Linked DNA regions of Lonchura striata. The protein of the gene in region 1 interacts with the protein of each later gene in a biochemical or structural test. Links are inferred from orthologs where the notes say so. Each region holds a gene or a part of one and is shown in the gene's direction. Other genes may lie near its edges.

Evidence for each region. The genes of interacting proteins can lie anywhere in the genome.
Region 2: the proteins of APBB1 (region 1) and EVL form a complex in vitro, tested with the Homo sapiens proteins (2 studies listed by BioGRID). The link is inferred for Lonchura striata from reciprocal best matches to the Homo sapiens genes APBB1 and EVL.

Annotation. Positions count from the first base shown.
Region 1 is NC_134604.1:116,947,431-116,955,899, reverse strand, and holds the start of APBB1 (amyloid beta precursor protein binding family B member 1), read left to right. Parts: upstream 1-4,851; 5' UTR 4,852-4,878; intron 4,879-5,289; 5' UTR 5,290-5,397; coding exon 5,398-5,923; intron 5,924-6,319; coding exon 6,320-6,498; intron 6,499-6,758; coding exon 6,759-6,815; intron 6,816-6,890; coding exon 6,891-6,997; intron 6,998-7,355; coding exon 7,356-7,392; intron 7,393-7,783; coding exon 7,784-7,921; intron 7,922-8,174; coding exon 8,175-8,299; intron 8,300-8,469. Other genes in the region: TRIM3 (tripartite motif-containing protein 3), read left to right, coding at 543-613, 719-859, 1,725-1,877. UniProt on the Homo sapiens protein: Transcription coregulator that can have both coactivator and corepressor functions. Adapter protein that forms a transcriptionally active complex with the gamma-secretase-derived amyloid precursor protein (APP) intracellular domain.
Region 2 is NC_134608.1:12,187,454-12,195,427, reverse strand, and holds the start of EVL (ena/VASP-like protein), read left to right. Parts: upstream 1-4,692; 5' UTR 4,693-4,887; coding exon 4,888-4,910; intron 4,911-7,974. UniProt on the Homo sapiens protein: Ena/VASP proteins are actin-associated proteins involved in a range of processes dependent on cytoskeleton remodeling and cell polarity such as axon guidance and lamellipodial and filopodial dynamics in migrating cells.

The DNA of each region.
Region 1 (8,469 bases):
TCCAGCTCTGGGCTGTCGGTTCGCGTTCTGGTCTCGGGACTTTTTTTCTGAGCTCTGCTTTGAGTTCGGGGGCTGGACAAGGAGCCAGGATCTGGTTCTTGGTCCAGCACCACGTTAAGTGCTCTGGGCTTGTGATCCAGATTCTGTCTCTGGGTTCTGGTTCAGGACTGAGATCCCAGGCTCTTGAGTTCAGGGTTTGGTTCTGGTTCCCAGGCTGGTATGTGGTTCCAGGTTCTGGGTTTGGGTCTGGGTCCTGAGCTGTGTGTCCTAGATTGGGGCACTGGGTTTGGTTCTGGATACAGATTGTGGGTCTGGGTTCTGGATTCAGTTCTGGGTTGGGGCGCTGGGCTCAGATTCTGGCAGTGACTCCATCCTGGGGGCTCTGAGTTCTGGACTCTGTCCATACCTCAGGGCTCTGGATTCATCCTTGCCCTGCCATAAGGCCAGGGCTGAACCCCATCATTCCCTTCAGGGCTGAGACGCCAATCCTGGGGATAAGTTCCCTGTGCTCCATTTGAGCTGAGCCCCCTTTGTCTCCTCAGGACCCCATTTTGTGGCTGTCAACAACAAGAACGAGATCGTGGTGACTGACTTCCACAACCACTCTGTGAAGGTGAGCAGAGCCACAGGCAGCTGCTGAGAGCCCCCTAGTGCGCTCAGGGCTGGGGGGCTGCAGTGGCCCCCGTGACTCCCACGTGTTGTGCCCCCTGCCCACCAGGTGTACAACGCTGAGGGCGAGTTCCTGTTCAAGTTCGGGTCGCATGGGGAGGGCAACGGGCAGTTCAACGCGCCCACAGGGGTGGCCGTGGACAGCAATGGCAACATCATCGTGGCTGACTGGGGCAACAGCCGCATCCAGGTACCACACCCGTGCCAGCGCAGGCACACGGACACCCGTGCCAGCACAGGCACACGGACACCCGTGCCAGTGCAGACACATGGACACCCATAGCAGCACAGACACATGGACACCCGTAGCAGCACAGACACACGGACACCCGTACCAGCACATCTGTGCCTGCACAGACACATGGACACCTGTGCTAGCACAGACACACGGACACCTGTGCCTGCACAGACACACAGACATCTGTACCTGCACACCATGTGCCTACTCAGACACACGGACACCTGTGCCTGCACAGACACGCAGAGACCTGTGCCTGCACACCTGTGCCTGCTCAGACACCTGCACACCTCTACCTGCACACACCTCCCCAGTGCAGCCCGTGGGGCTCCGCACTTTCCCCTCTCCATCCCATCCCTGACCCCCCAGCCCAGGTGTGTGCTGTGAGGTGCTGTGGGGCACCTGCAGGGAGCCAGGACACAACTCGGTTTAAGTGAGAACACCTGGAAAGGATCTTGGGTCAAGGGGGAAGGGTCCGTGCAGGGTCTGCAATCAGCTGGGAGGGGTCTAGAGACAGCTAGGAGCAACAAAGAAGGGTCTCTGGTCAACTGGGAACAGTCCATGGGGGCGTAGGGTCAACTGTGAGGAACTGGGAAGAATTTTGCACCGAGAGGAACTGGGATGGACTGGGAAGGGGTCTGGGGTCACCTGGAAGCAACTGAGAAGGGTCTTGGAATAGGGGAGGATCCCTGTCCTGCTAGGAGGGATTTTGAGCACATGCCCCCACAGGGAGTGCATCCTGCAGGTCTGTGGGGCTATCGGGGCTGGGGGTCCCTGGCCATGGGCCCCAGGGCACAGCTGTGTGCACCTCCCACAGGTGTTTGACAGCGCGGGCTCCTTCCTGTCCTACATCAACACGGCGGCTGACCCGCTGTACGGGCCGCAGGGGCTGGCCCTCACCTCCGACGGCCACGTTGTCGTGGCCGACTCGGGCAACCACTGCTTCAAGGCCTATCGCTACCTGCAGTGACGGGCATGACACCGCGGGCACGGCTGCGGGCAGGAGGGACCTGCAGCTGCAGCGGGGCGCGTGGGGCGACGGCTGCCCCGCAGCCTCGCCTGCCCCCCGAGCGCCATCCTGGCTTCATGTGCACTTTATCCCAGGGGGCAGCCGGGCCTGGGGGGGGGTGAGGAAGGGTCCCGTGGGGTGGGGGCTGCCTGAGGGTCATAGTCTGGCCCCTCACCCATGGCAGGGCCAGCATCCCACTGCCCCTGCTGACAGGGTTCCCAAGGTGTGGGGGGTGTGAGGGGCAGGGGGAGCTGCTGGAAGGGCTTGTGGGGGGCTGTGGGGTGGTCAGTCCAGAGTTCCATGCCCCTTGAGGGCGACCCCCACCTCCCCAGGTCCCCTCCCCAACTGTGGGGTGACTGTGTGTGCCTGCTGCCCCACTGCACTGCTGCTCCATGGCTCTGGGGGGCTCCAGGGGTTGTGGGGCAGCTGCCGCACGCTGACAAAACTGTATGTACAAAATAAAGTATTCTGGAAGTACCCTGGCCCCGTGCTGCCCCGTAGCCCTGCCTGTCTTTCACACACCCTGCCCTAGAGCCCCCATGGCCTGCGGGCTCTCCCAGCTGCGCTGGACGCCCCCAGGCAGTGCCAGGCCAAGCAGGGACAGGAATGGTGCCTGGAGCTCAGTGGCACCACGGGCGCCTGCCTGGCCTGGGCGTTCTGCCAGCACTGACCCATCTGCAGGGACAGGGACAGACTGGGAGTGGGGACAGGGTAAGACTGGTCTCTGTTGGGTCAAGCTAGTCTATGCTGGCAGCAGGGTTTGCGTTGGACTGGTCTGTACTCATACTGGGTCAGACTGGTCTATACTGACATGGGGTCAGACTGGTCTGTTCTAGGAGTAGGAACTGGTCCATACTGGTCCGTGTACCCAGGAGAAAGTGGTCAATGACCTGCTGAGCTGCTCAGACCCCGCAGGTCCCTGGGGCCAGTGGATCCCTGGGCATACCACAGGGGCTGTGGGGGGGTCACAGAGCTGCTCCTCCTGTCCTCGCCAGCTCTGGCCATCCATGGGGGATCCTGGACAGCAGCAGAGCTCACCTAGACCCTGCTCATCATCCCCTGGGGGGTCCCAGGCCCCAGAGGTGGCCAGTGACTCTATTCCCAAGCAGGGCTGGAGGGAGGATCCAGGCATGTCCACGCCTGTTCCTGGTCCTGATGCTGGGAAGGCCCTAGTACAGATCAGCTGTGAGTCCCCACAGCATGGGCAGGACAACCAGGTGATCAGGTTCAGCTGGGGTTGGGAACAGCAGGTCCTGCCTCACCCACTCGGTCTCCTGCTGGGACAGGATGACCTGGTGGCTGTGGGACAGGTGTGGGTGTGCCCGCTTGAAGCTCAGCAAAGCCTTTGGCACCACCTCTGTCTCCCTGGCACCTCACAGAGCACATGCAGCCTGGCTGGGACAGGTGCTCCTTGCTGGGAGCAGCCGGCTGAGGGCCAGGCCCAGGGAGGGGTGGGAATGGGGCCCCATTGGAGGGGACAGGCACTGCTGGGGTGGGCTCCGAGGGCTCTGCTGGGGCCAGCGCTGTCCCACAGAGCTGTCAGCGATCTGGCTGGAGCTTGTCCTCAGTGAGTCCATGGACCACACGTGGTTGGTTGGGATGTGGATGTGCTGAAGGATCCCAGAGGGGTCTGGCCAGGCTGGACTGATGGGCCAAGGCCAACAGCATGAGGGTCACCAAGGGCCCATGCTGGGTCTTCCTCTTGGGTCACCAAACCCCTGCAACACCCCAGGCTGGGCAGAGGGCTGGGAGGCTGGAAATGGCCCTGGTGGTGCTGGTCACAGGGACTAGACACCAGCCCAGGTGGGTGAGAGGCCCATGGCCCCTGGCTGTGCCAGCCCCAGGGTGGGCACAGCCCCAGGGCAGGGATTGTCTCCTGTGCTGGGCACTCTGTGGCACCTCCAGGGCTCTGTCCAGTTCTAGGCAAGAGAGACCTGGAGGGGCTGGAGCGTGACCAGGGCAGGGAACAGAGCTGGGAATGGGCTGGAGCCCCAGGAGGGGCTGAGGGAGCTGGGAAGGGGCTCAGCCTGGAGAAAACGAGGCTCACGGGGGACCTTCCCCGGAAACAAGTGACAGGGCAAGAGGAAATGTCCACTAGTTGTACTTAGGAAGGTTCAGGTTGGACATCAGGAGGAATTTTCTCATGGAAAGGGCTGCCACATTCTGGAAGAGGCTGCCCAGGGAGCTTTGGAGTGCCCATCCCTGCAGGTGTCCCCTGGAGGTGGCACTGAGTGCTCTGGGCTGGGGACAAGGTGGGATCAGGCACAGGTTGGACCCAGCCTTGCAGGCCTTACCAAACGGAATGTCTGTGATCCTGCAGAGGGTCAGACAGGTGCCCGCAGGCTGCAGGGACCCCGCACACCCTGTGCCACCATCGCTGCCCCCGGATGCCCCGCTCCCCTCCGGGGCTGGTAAGAGCCGGGAGCTCCGAGACCCTCCCGGTCCAGCAGGGGTTTTGGGGGGTTCCGGGGGCACAGCAGCCGCAGGGAGTCCCAGTGCTGCCCCGGCCCCGTCCGGTGCCGGTGAGGGGGCAGCGGGGCGGAAACCGGCGGCGCCCACGCCTTGGGGGATGCCGCAGGAGTAACCGGGGATTCAACTGGGCTGAACTGGTCCATGGCACCGGGCTCCCGCTGCCCGCTCGGAACAGCCGGAACCCTGGGGCGGGCACGGGCAGTGTCGGGGTCACCTGCCCCGGGAGTATCACCGGGGGGAAGGTCCCCCGTTCCGGCAAGGCCTGGGGCTCCCGGTCCCGGGGGGTACTCGGCGGTATCCGGTGTTGCCGGTGCCGGGGAGGGTCCGGAGAGGTGCCGGTGGTCCCGGCCGGGGCCGGTGCCGGTGGTCCCGTGCGGTGCCGGTGCCGGTGGCGGCGCTGTCCCCGCCGGCCGGTGCCGGAAGTGGAAGTGACGCGCCCCGAGCCCCCCACCCTCCCCCGCGACCCCCGGCAGCGGAGCGGCCGCCGCAGGTACCGGCAGCGAGCGGGGGCAGCGCACGGGGCACGGGCCGGCCCCGCCGCGCAGCGGACAGCGCTGGGGGCGGGCGGGCCGGGCCCGTGCAGACCCCCGGGGGCTGGGCCGGGGGCAGCGCGGAGCTCCGCAGCGCGGGGTCCCGGTGGGATCTCCCCGGGCAGGGCCGTGGGGCGGACGCGGCGGGACCCCGGGCCGGGGGAGTGGCGGGGCGACCCCGGGGGTTGTGCTCGTGGAGGAGCCGGCGGGGGCCCCGGGGCCGGGCGGGATGCCGGGGCCGCGGGGGATGCCGGTGCTGGGGAAGGCCGCCCGGGGCCGGGGAGGGCTGCGGGGGGTGCCGAGTCCTTGGGAGGACCCGGGGCCGCGGAGCGTCCGTGGCCGGGGTCCCGGTGCAGCCCCGCTCCCCGCAGGCCCGATGGACGCGGCGGCGCCCCGGGGGCTGTAGGACCCCCCCGCCCTCCTCCCCAGCACCGGCAGCCGGGCCGGGCCCTGCCGGGGGTCCCGCCGGTCCCCGCGCCATGTCGGGGGCCCTGAGCAAGCGCAGCGACCTGGCCAACGACAACCGGTGCCCGGGGCTGAGCCTGGGGCTGGCGGCGCCCCCCGAGCCCCGCACCGGCCCCGGCGGCCCGGCCGAGGAGCTGCCCGGCGCCGGGTGGGCGAAGGCCGGGCAGGATCAGAACCGCAACGAGCTGGAGCCGGGGCCGGGGCCGGGGCGCTCCCCCGGGGCGCACGGGGAGTGCCCCGGGGCCCTCGAGCCGGGGCTGCGGGCCCGCAATGCCCGGAACGCCGCCGGGAACCCGCGGGCGCTGCTGATCGGCGCCTCGGAGGAGGAGGAGGAGGAGGAGGAGGATGAGGAGGAGGACGAGGAGGAGGAGGACGGGGCCGGGGTCTCTCCGCCGGCTCTGGGCACGGAGCGGGGCCTGCGGGAGCCGCCGGGGCGCAGCGCCAGCCGCCTCTTCGGGGGGCCCGGCCCCGGCAGCGACGAGGACTCGAGCTGGGCCACGCTGAGCCAGGGCAGCCCCGGCAGCTCCCCCGATGAGCCAGGTGGGCACCGGTGGAGCCCCAGGGACTTGTGGAGCCCCACGGTGAGCTCTCGCTGTCCCGCAGCTGCCCCATGGAGGCTTCTGACTTCTGACAATCTCTGGCTGCCCCACAGAGCCCGATGGCTGCTCCCACCCGCTCCTTCCTGCCGTGTCCCCGTGCTCCTATCTGCTCCACATCTCCCCGGTCCCTGGCTGTGTGCCCACTCTTACACTCTCAGCCTCCGGAGCCATTCCCGCTCCCTGGTCCCCCAGCCCCCGGGCACTGTGCTGTGTCACCAGCCCCCATTATTTCCATGTTCCCTTGTCCCTGTGGAGCCCTGTTGGGCCATCCCCGTGTCCCTGGGCACGGGGGGCTGCGTGGGGCTGGGGCTGACCCCTCTGGCCCCCTGCCCCGCAGAGTCGCTGTGGCCATGTGGCGCGGGAGCACACGGGGACCTGCCCCCCGGCTGGCTGAGGGTGCAGGACACCTCGGGCACCTACTACTGGCACGTCCCCACTGGTACCACCCAGTGGGAGCCTCCCGGCGGGCCCCACGAGAGCCCTTCCGATGGCAGCACCCCCACCGAGGGGCCCACCGTGAGTCGGCACTAAGAGGACTGGGCTTGCACTGGGAGGTGGTCCTGCAGCTGCTGCGGGGCCACGGGGGTGGCTATGGGGCATGGGGTAGCTGGGACATGATGGTGGGGTGGTTGTGTGGGGCGCAGGGCACCTGTGGCCCTTGGGTTACCGTGGGGCTCCCACAGTGTGCTGTGGGGTGACGGGGGGGGGAACCGTGGGGCACTTGTGGGGTGACTGGGGGGCTGCCCTATGGAGCACCCTGACCCAGCCCCCTGCAGCTTTCCTGGACGAGCTTTGCCCCGGCTGAGACCTTCAATGATGGGCACTTGTGGAAGGTGAGAGGGGGTAGTGGATGGGAAAGGGTGGGGGGTCAGTGCCCTCCCAACCCCACAGAGCCCCCTTGCCCCTAGGACCCCACGGCTGAGGAGGAGGAGGAGGAAGAGGAAGAGGAAGATGAAGAGCCAGGAGTGTCAGACCTGGAGATGCTGTCACCAGGCCCAGGATCACCAGGAGAGGGGTGAGTGGGGGGCACAGGGACTGGGGGGACTCACAGGCAGAGCTGTGCCTGTCGGGATGTGGGACACTGGGTGACAAGCAACAGAATTGAGAGAGGGTGTTCGGGGTGAAGTGGAGCTGAGGGGGGCAGGGACCCAGGTGTGGGGCAGGGAAATGTGGTCTCAGGATGGGGTTGGACTTGAGGGACTCTCAGGATCTCAAGGCAGGTGTTTGGAGGGGAAAGTCCGGGTTGCTCAAGGTGCAATGACCCAGGTATAGGATGCGAGGGATCCCAGAGGTCTTTCAGGGACAGGGTTTGGGGGTGAAGAGGCCCCAGACACAGGGTGCAGTCGCTGACACCTCCACCCTTCCCCTTGCAGCATGGCCCTGGGCGAGGAGGATGTACTGGACTCCAAGGTAGGGCCAGTCTCTGCTGACCCTCCCAGCCCACAGGGCCCCTTCCCCACTGCTGTGGGGTCTGGTGCACTGCCTGGTGCCCTGCCGGGGGCTGAGGCACCAGCGCAGGGATGCCCCAGGCTGTCCCTGCACGGGAGGGGCCTGGCCCTGCCCCTCTGTGGGGTCTACCCTGCCGAGGGCCCGGGGCTGTGCAGAGTGGGGTGCTGAGGGGCCAGCGTACTGCTGGGGAGCTGAGCCTGCCCCCCTGCCCCTCACATCTCTGCCCCACAGCCCCTCATGCTCCATGTCTTTCCTGCCCCGCATCACTCCCTTCTCCCTAGCCCATGCCATCCTTGCCCCACAGCCAGCCCCACACATCCCCCACTGACTCCCGTTCCCCCCTTGCCCCCAGGGCCTCCCGGTGCGCTCTCTGGGCTGGGTGCAGCTGCGGGAGGAGGAGCTGGGCCCGGGCCGCAGCAGCAGCGCTGTCAGCGCCTGCATCCGGCAGCTCTCGGGGCCTCGCCAGGGCCCCCCCGGCACCTGGGGGGAGGTGAGTGACCCCAGAGCCCCCTGTGCCCCACACCCATCCCACACCCTCTGTGCTGCTTCCCCGGCACCTGGTGAGTGACCCCAGAGCCCCCTGTGTGCCCCAAACCCATCCCACACCCTCTGTGCTGCTCCCGCAGCACCTGGTGAGTGACCCCAGAGCCCCCTGTGTGCCCCAAACCCATCCCACACCCTCCCCACTGCTCCCCTGGTACCTGGGGGAGTGGAACACCCTCCTGAGCCTCCTGTGCCCCCAGGCACGGGCACTGCTGCTGCTGGAGGACCGCACGCTGAAGCTGGTGGACCCCCAGGACCGGGCCCTGCTGCATGCACAGCCCGTGGGCGGCATCCGCGTGTGGGGCGTGGGGCGGCATGGCAGCAGGTGGGGGGCACGGGTGGGGTTGGGGCACGGGGATGCCCACGGGTGTGGAGCTTGAGGTGGCACTGGTGTCCGGTGTAGAGGGCACGGGGTTCTGGTGTCTGCAGAGGCTGGGGATCCTGTGCACGTGGGGTGCAGGGATGGGGGGATCGCCGTGTGTGGGACCCCCATGG
Region 2 (7,974 bases), on another chromosome or scaffold:
ATTTCAGGCACTGTTGCAGTTGTCAATAACTTAATAATCCGTATGGAGCTTTTAGTGTTCACCCCAGCTGGCTGAGTTCTGTTAGATTGCTAGTTGTGACTTGGTGCTGTCCCCAGGGGCTGATAGAAAATCAGTAAGAACCCCATTCTCTCTGGTTCACTCCAGTGCATCTTCCCTAAAGCACTAGAATAAGGCAGATGAGGCTGTATGTGGCAAAACATCCCCTTTCAGCCCTGTGAGTTGCTGTGCACTGGTCTGCACCTGGTACAGGGTATCTGTTCATGAAAATGTTATGTGATACTCCCAGAATGATAAGAGTAAAGCTGTGGGAGAAGAGTATGGGGAAGATATCAGCCATCCTGTGATCAGGAATCTCAAACCCTGGATTTGAAAAGCATGAAGCATGCTTGGGCCAAAGTTGAGAGGGAAAAATTTTATTTTTTTCAATATTCATGGGCTGTGATAATTCCAAGATGTATAAATGAGGTAGGATTTTTTTGGTGAAGGTTGACATCAGAAAATCAAGCTTTTATGGTCAATCTGAAAACCTGAGAGTGAAAGAAGAAGCCTGAAGTATGTTGGATTTTCCTTGTGCATCAAAATTCACATTGTATTTTAATGCAACATATAATAGAAATACCATTGATAAAAGAAGGGGGAAAAAAAGTTCATTCTTGCCCCACCCATATTCCTCTTTAACAGCTGAAGTTTTGAGTCAATACTCCAATACTGAACACATCCTTGTTCTGTAAACTTAAGGGCACTGCAATTATTTTTACAATTTCTCCAGTACCTGAACAAACTAAGGTAGCCACTCCTTTTCTGTTTCAATAAACATTTAAAATCTTATTTTTTTAAGCTCAGGAAAGATGTTTGAATTCAGAGACAATCCTGTTGAAAGGAGATTTTTGAGTATATTCTGGGATGCTGCCTGTGATTGCTACATTTTCCTCTGTGCAGTAATTTTGGAGATGCAGTGAATGAACACTCATTAGATATGCTCTTGTTGGCTCATTTCCCTTCTTTTTGTTTTCTTCCTCATGAATTGAAGTGAATGCTGAATTTTTCAGCACAGTTGCAGGGTTTTTTTTAGTGTGGTCTGAATATTACTTCAGCATAATGGTAATGCAGGCTTAGTGACAGAAGTCCACTGTGTTAGTGGCTTTCTTCCTTTCTTGAGCAAGGGAATAAGTAGTTATTTCATTAAAATGTCTGTCTGTGATCAGATAATGTCACCAAGCATCTGGCAAAGGCTTTGGTGGAATTTCAGGTCAGGAGGACAAATACTGATACATTGATATGCTAAATAACAATAATGCAAGATGTTACACTTGAGGATATTGGGCTCTTAGCAGAGTAGCAGCATGAGGCCCTTGGATGGCAGTGAAATGCCAGATAAAACAAGAAATTTCACCATATCCTCTGCCTTGTTCTGGTTTGTCATACTTCCAGGCTTTTTTTGCATCCTTTGCTTTTTAGACAAGCTTTCACCAAGGATAACCACTTCTATTATCGTCTCTCTTGTTTGTTAGAGCCCAACATTAAAATTGCAAAGTGTTTCCCAAAACCTTCTGCTTGTCTTCAGTGGGAGGGACACTCAATGTCACATCTTTTTGGCCTCTGATCAGAAGGTGGGGTCTGGGTCCCACAGTTCTCATTATATAAATTATCCCACTCAATCTTTAGTAAATTCTTCTTTCATGTGACATAATTTCAGTTTCTGGTAAAGAGAGGGACATTTGTCATCAAATGTCTGGACTGGTTATACTGCCAGGAAGGGAATAAACAGCTTCTTGTGAAAAATGTCATTGCTGATTGTGGTTTCTGACATAATTTCTGTCTGCTTCTCAAGATCTTCAGTCTGGTTTATGGCACAGGAAGTTACAGCCTTGGTTAAAAGTTATAAGGAAGTATTACAGCCTTGCATTTATTTATGTGGCCTAATTTGGCCATTGCATGTGTTCATGTGACTTTCTGAAGCCCCTGTGTGTTCTGTTTGGTAAATTTTCATGCTGAGGCTCATTCATGTCTACAGGAGGACATGATGGTCTCAGATCTTACTATTGAATATGGGAATCCTAGTAATTAATGAATCAGAATTGAGACTATTGGTTGTTTCACATGACAGAAGTCCTGCTGTTTCTGTGTGTAATGCTGTCAGCTGTTGTGAAAGTGCTAGCCAAGAAAAAAAAAAGTTAAAATGTTATCCCAATGAAACCTTTCAACAGCTGACCTCTACTGTATATGAAAACTTTGTGGAGGATGTTTGCTTTTCTAGTCCTTCACAGTGAACCCACTGATGACAGAAGCCTTGACTTGAACAGTTAACTATTTCATTGCATTGTGGCTGTTGAGAAACTGCAGAAATTGGAAGACTCAATAGTGATTCTGTCAAGTTTGTTTCAAGAAGAATGCTTAGGGGAAGCAGTATGTTTGCTCTTAATTCTGTAGAATGGTTTTATTTTAAATAAACACCATAAAAAAGAAGCATGTTTTAAGTGAAAACTAGCCCTTTTCTACTTGATTCAAGCTAGAGAAAGATTGTGGTGAGCGAGAAAAGAGAAGCTCAGAATTCTGTCCTTCCTCCATGAGGGATGTTGGCTAGCTCTGAAGGTATAAAACTATTTCCTACAAGGTCAGGAGCAGAAAAATTGCTTGCAAGGGGTACCTCTCCCGTGCCCAGCTGCTTGGGTGCTGTATACAGTGAGCATACTTGTGGTGAAGTCAGCCTAAATATGGCAGGCGGCTTCTTCTGACGGCTGCGTTGTTCTTTTCTCTGCCAATTTTAATCTTTTATTAGGCTGTAGCCAGAATCACCTACCTTGCAGTCCTTCTCTTGCTGGATGCTTGTGGAAGAATTAATTTCTGTCAGATGGTGTGACTGCATGTGTTTTAGTGTTCCTACGGCGTGCCTTTATTGTCACTTAACACTATCACATTTGTTTAAAGGAAATAAAATGAAACCCAAGGTCACTACTACATTAAAATCACTATGTCTCAAATTAATGTGACTTTTTTTTTTTTTGTTTGTTTGTTTCCAGTGCTGGGGTTTTTTTGCCATGAGTGCCTTTTCCTTTCATCCCAGCCCTTTTTGCCTGTATTTCTCAGAGCCATGAGGTCAGATGCCACAGTTACCATGGCCTGGACCCAATCACTGTGTCTAGGAGATGTGGCAGTCTGTACCCTGTGGATGCTTTTCCAGTCTCCAAATCCCACAGCTCAGTGGGACAGCCATTGCCTTAGAGCATGTAAATCTCAGGAGCTGTAGTTTGGTTTGGCTATTTCAGACTCCAGCCAAAATCCTCCTTGTGTTTCCTTGTGCTAGAAACCAGCCCTAGCAGTAAAAGAGGCAAGTCAAGGAGGGGGGCAGCCCCAGAGGTAGCTTTGAATTTGCTGTCTCCCTGCGACTTTCCCATGCAGCATATTCTCCCACAGCCTCGTTCTCTCTTCTTCCCAGGGCTGGGGTTGATTTCCCAGGATTAGAATCTCCCTCATTTCCAGGAGCCCTCACCTTTCACCTTCTCTCCAGCCAGCAGGCAGTGCTGGGTGGCCGCAGGCTGTGGTGGCTGATGCTGAGGCTGGCGCAGCGTGCCCGGCCCCGGGGTTCAACCTCCCATCCCGCCGCTGACCTGGCCGCCGGGCAGAGCCCCTGCAGCCTCACAGCTAACACCCGTGCAGTCCCTCAGCAAACGGGCGATGGGGTGCGACTCCCGCATGTCCAGAATTCCCACGGGATTGCTGCGGGGGTGGAGAGCTCTGGCTGCCGCCGTCGGGGTGCGTTCCCCGGCGCGGTGCGCAGTGTTCGCTCCAGCTCCGCACGCCCGGCTGCCGGGCCGGTGTTTCCGAGGCGCGGCCGTGCCGTGCCTGGCCGAGCCGCTCCGGAGCGCGGCCGGGGCTCCCCCGAGCCCGGCGTGCCCCGTGCCTCCCGCTGCCCCGGGCCTGGCTTTTGGCGGCCGTGTCGCCGGGCTTGTCCCCGCGTGTCGCCCCCGGGGTGCGCAGCGGATGCTCTGCCCCCTGCGCTGGCTGCGCTGTTGCCATGGAGATTGCGTGCGCTGTTGCTAGGCAGCTGAAGCATCCTCGCCTGCACACCGCAATGCCACGAAATGCTCAACTTTCCTCATGCCCATCTCCCTTCTGTGATCTCGCAGATATGACTCCTTTGGCTCTTATCCCACTTCATTCACTTGCACTGCTGCGATTTCTTGGTGTTAACCCTGTAAACCCTAGAAAGCCCGCACGGCCCTGCAAATAGGGTTTATGGCAATGAGTTCAGGGCTGAAGGAGTTAAAGTGGTTGGGAATAGACTACAGAGGAAATGATTTCTAGCAGATAAACTACTTTAAATGTTCTGGCATTCATGGAAGGGGAGGTTTGTGGATGGAGTCTTTTGTTCCATCACTGATGGTTTAGATGAATAAAAACAGACTAAAATACCGCTACAAGGTAAGAAAATCAGCTTGAATGGGCCTAATTAATCTCTTCTGTTACGATATATATTTAGTTTTTTATTATCCTCTGCTTGTGCTTGTTGATTTTGATGTAGCATGTGAATGATAATTTAGCGATGAAGCCTGTCGTGTACCATATTTGACTTATTTGGCTTGAATAATAAAGATATCAGCCTGTATTCTTGGAGTATACTGCATTAATCAGACTTGCAGGAATGATCACATGGTACTCTATCGCCTTTTCCTGTTAGCTGCTGCTTGTCAGCAGCTGGCTGAGCTGTAGGCTGCAGGCCAGTATCTGCATACCCTTTCTCCTCAGAATATTCCAAATATACTGTCTCGTCATTATGCATTTTGCTGCAGTTTGACAAACTAAATGGTCCTCTGCACGTTAAGAAGATTATTTTAAATTTCAGAGCTTTTGTGTAGTTGCTAGGCCATGTATGCATTTGAAGAATTCAGGTAGGCTCTCTGTTTTATACATCAGTGTGCTTGGTTTTTGTTCTCACAAGGTTTTTGCTGTGTAATGTCAGTCAGCTCTACAGTTAGTTCGTCAATGTGCAGATATTTATTGTGTTTTAGAATCTCTACCCTGTGCATGGGGAGAAGTGCTTGAAGGGTTCGTTGCAGGTAACGGTAGCTTAACTGCATGATGAAGTGCAAAGCTGGGTAATTGATTATATCTTGCACAAATTTCATAGCCATGCAGCCAGAAGCAGCGAGTACAGGGTAGTTATAAATATAAACCAGAAACTGTTCTCTTTAAAAGGGTCTTTGCTATTTTTAGTCCTGGAGAATCTGACAGATGCTCCTCCAAGATAAAATACTGATGGTGATAGAGAAGAGAAAATTGATGCTTGGATTGTACATAGGATTATATTTTATATGCTGCTGCAGAGTATACATGTCTTTTTCATAACCTTGTAGCTGCAGAATTACTTATGAATTATATTTAAAATAAGAATATTGTTTAGTTTGATGGGGTTGGTTTGTAGCTTGCAAACATTTGAGCAACTGTGATTGCTAGAATATAAAATTAGCACTTTTTATTTGATATTGGTTCTGCTCGGTATTGCCTCTGCCCCCTCTCCTCCTCCATCCCCACCCCCAGTATAACTCCATCCTTATGCAAGTATTGAAGTCTATTAAAACCCCAACAGATATTTGAAGACATGAAACAGAATTTCTACACTCACTAACAGACAGTAATTTTCCTATGCAGTTTGGGACTTGAAAATTTCTGGTCAGTAGTTGTGGGGTGGGGAGTGTCTCACTTTTTGTAAAAATTTTTTTTGCTTAATGTGTTCAGTTGTTATAACTTGTGTAATGAAAATTGTCCAGATAAAATGGTGACAACATTGAAACAGCACTAGGCATCACATTGTGATACGTTTGTGTACTGTTATTATAATGCATCTTAAAATTAATCTTTCTTTTTGATTCAAAAAAATGGATTGTTTGACCAAGTATGTAACTAGAGGAGATGATGGATTCTCTTTCTAAACACAATGAGCATTCTTTATCAAAAACCTTAAAATGAAACTTTCTACCCTCAGATTAGATATTTTTAAGATTATTTCTGCCTTTTGTTAGGCAAATATATTGGCAATTTCCATTATTTTGTCACTTGCTGCTCAGTTCTGTTTTTGAGTGGTGGCAAAAGCGGCAAAAGCAGGTACAGGACACCCCCTCTCCCCAAAATGTTCTGATTCTAGCTGCAAGGGCTGAGGAGATCCAGGCTGACTGTGTATATTCCTGCTGCTGTGAAATGCAGCATGAATGCTGTCTGAGGGGAAAGATTTTACTAGAAGACTAGATAATGCTGTGTAACTGCTGTTGTCAGGGCTGTCAGGAGATGCTTGGAATCTTGACATTGCTGATTGTTGGCAGTAAATTAAGGTGAATTGTGCCCCAAACTTACTGTGAAACTTACTGTGCCCATGGAGTTGTTTGTATTTCTGCCAGTTCGTTGGGTCCTGTTCTTAACTGAGTGAAATTTTCAATAAATCTCCAATGAGAAAAAAAAAAAAAAAAAAAAAAAAAGGATGCTTTTAAAATTTTGCTTTTAAATTCTTAGCTGTCTTTCAGTGGCTTTCCTAGACATCTTGGGCTAGAAAGGCACCTACTTTTATGGCAGGAATGGTCAAATGCTGATTACACACCCATTAGGCTTATTAAATTATGTGTCATCCTCTCTTGGACTTGACTTGAAAATAGTATTAACATTTGATGTGCAGACTGCTAGACATTTTCTTTTAAGTGTTGCACTGGTAGGGCTGGTGTTTATGTATAGCAGCATTTAAATGGCATTTATTTTATTAGGAATTTCTGTGGTGTTTTGTTGAGGTTGCATCTTCATGTTGATGGGGTTTTTTTAATAGTATGATTATTCTCGTGCCTGTGGCTATTTTAGATTTTGATGGCATCAAAACAAATCTTGCAAGATAAAGATTTAAAAGATGTCTAGTTGAGCAGTGGGGTGGAAGCCTCCCTGCCAGGGGCTCCTGGAAGCAAAGTGGCTGTAGCAGCAGAGGGAACTCTTCTCTGGCCTAAGGCCCCCAGCTCCAGGGTTGCCCCACTCTCGTCCAAAGGTCCCCATCTTCCATGTGCACAAAACACAGGCTTGCACTCATCTCTCACCTTGGCCTTAACCTGAAGTGGATGCTCACGTGTGTGTTGGAGCAGCAGGGCTGTTCCATCCTCCAGTGCACCCACAGGCCTTGAGTACCCAGGTGTCCCCAGATGTGGGGAGCCCAGTGGTGCCTTCTTATGCAGACACAACCATGACATCTTTCTGTGTTACTCTGCTGGCTTTTTTCTGTCTCCACACTGGCTTTTCAAGACCTGCAGGACTCTCCAGATGGGTGGTGTGGGCTGTGGCACCCTGAGCCTATGCCAAGAGGCATCACTGCAGTCAGGCCACCCAAGTTCCCCTCTGACTTCATTTTGATGCAGCCATCTTCACTTCCCTGGTGAAATGGTGCCAAGTTATTTTTGTGAAGTGTTAAACAGCTGCTGGACCTCTCTGAAGAATTGTCTCACTTAAAGACTAGAAGTGACTCTGGTGTACTGTTTGTGAAAAACTTCGTAAAGCCCTTTGGGATGATATCTTTCCTATGTGGTTACTGGCTGGATGAAGAGAGACTTAAGCCTCTGACAAAACAGGGAGTAAATCCATAGAATAATCTTACAGCTTCTTGTATAGCCAAGCTTGGTTTATCTTCCTTTTGGAAAGAACCTAATATCCCCTGAAAAACTTTGCTTTTAAAGCAGGGTTAATGGAGCTAAGCCCCTTCTCAGTCCATATGGGCTTCTGATTTCTGTGTGCTGTGGGTTGGGCTCTTTTTATTGCTGATTCCTGCGCTGTCTTCATAAAATCCCAAAGATCGCATATAATGGGTTATAATTGGAGGCAGGATTGTTCCTAAGCCGTGCTTTTATGATCTGCTGTAAGATGACTGTGCACGTGAAGCCATCAGGAGGATGCACTTGGCCACGAGCAGTACTCCTCATTTGGTATCTTCCG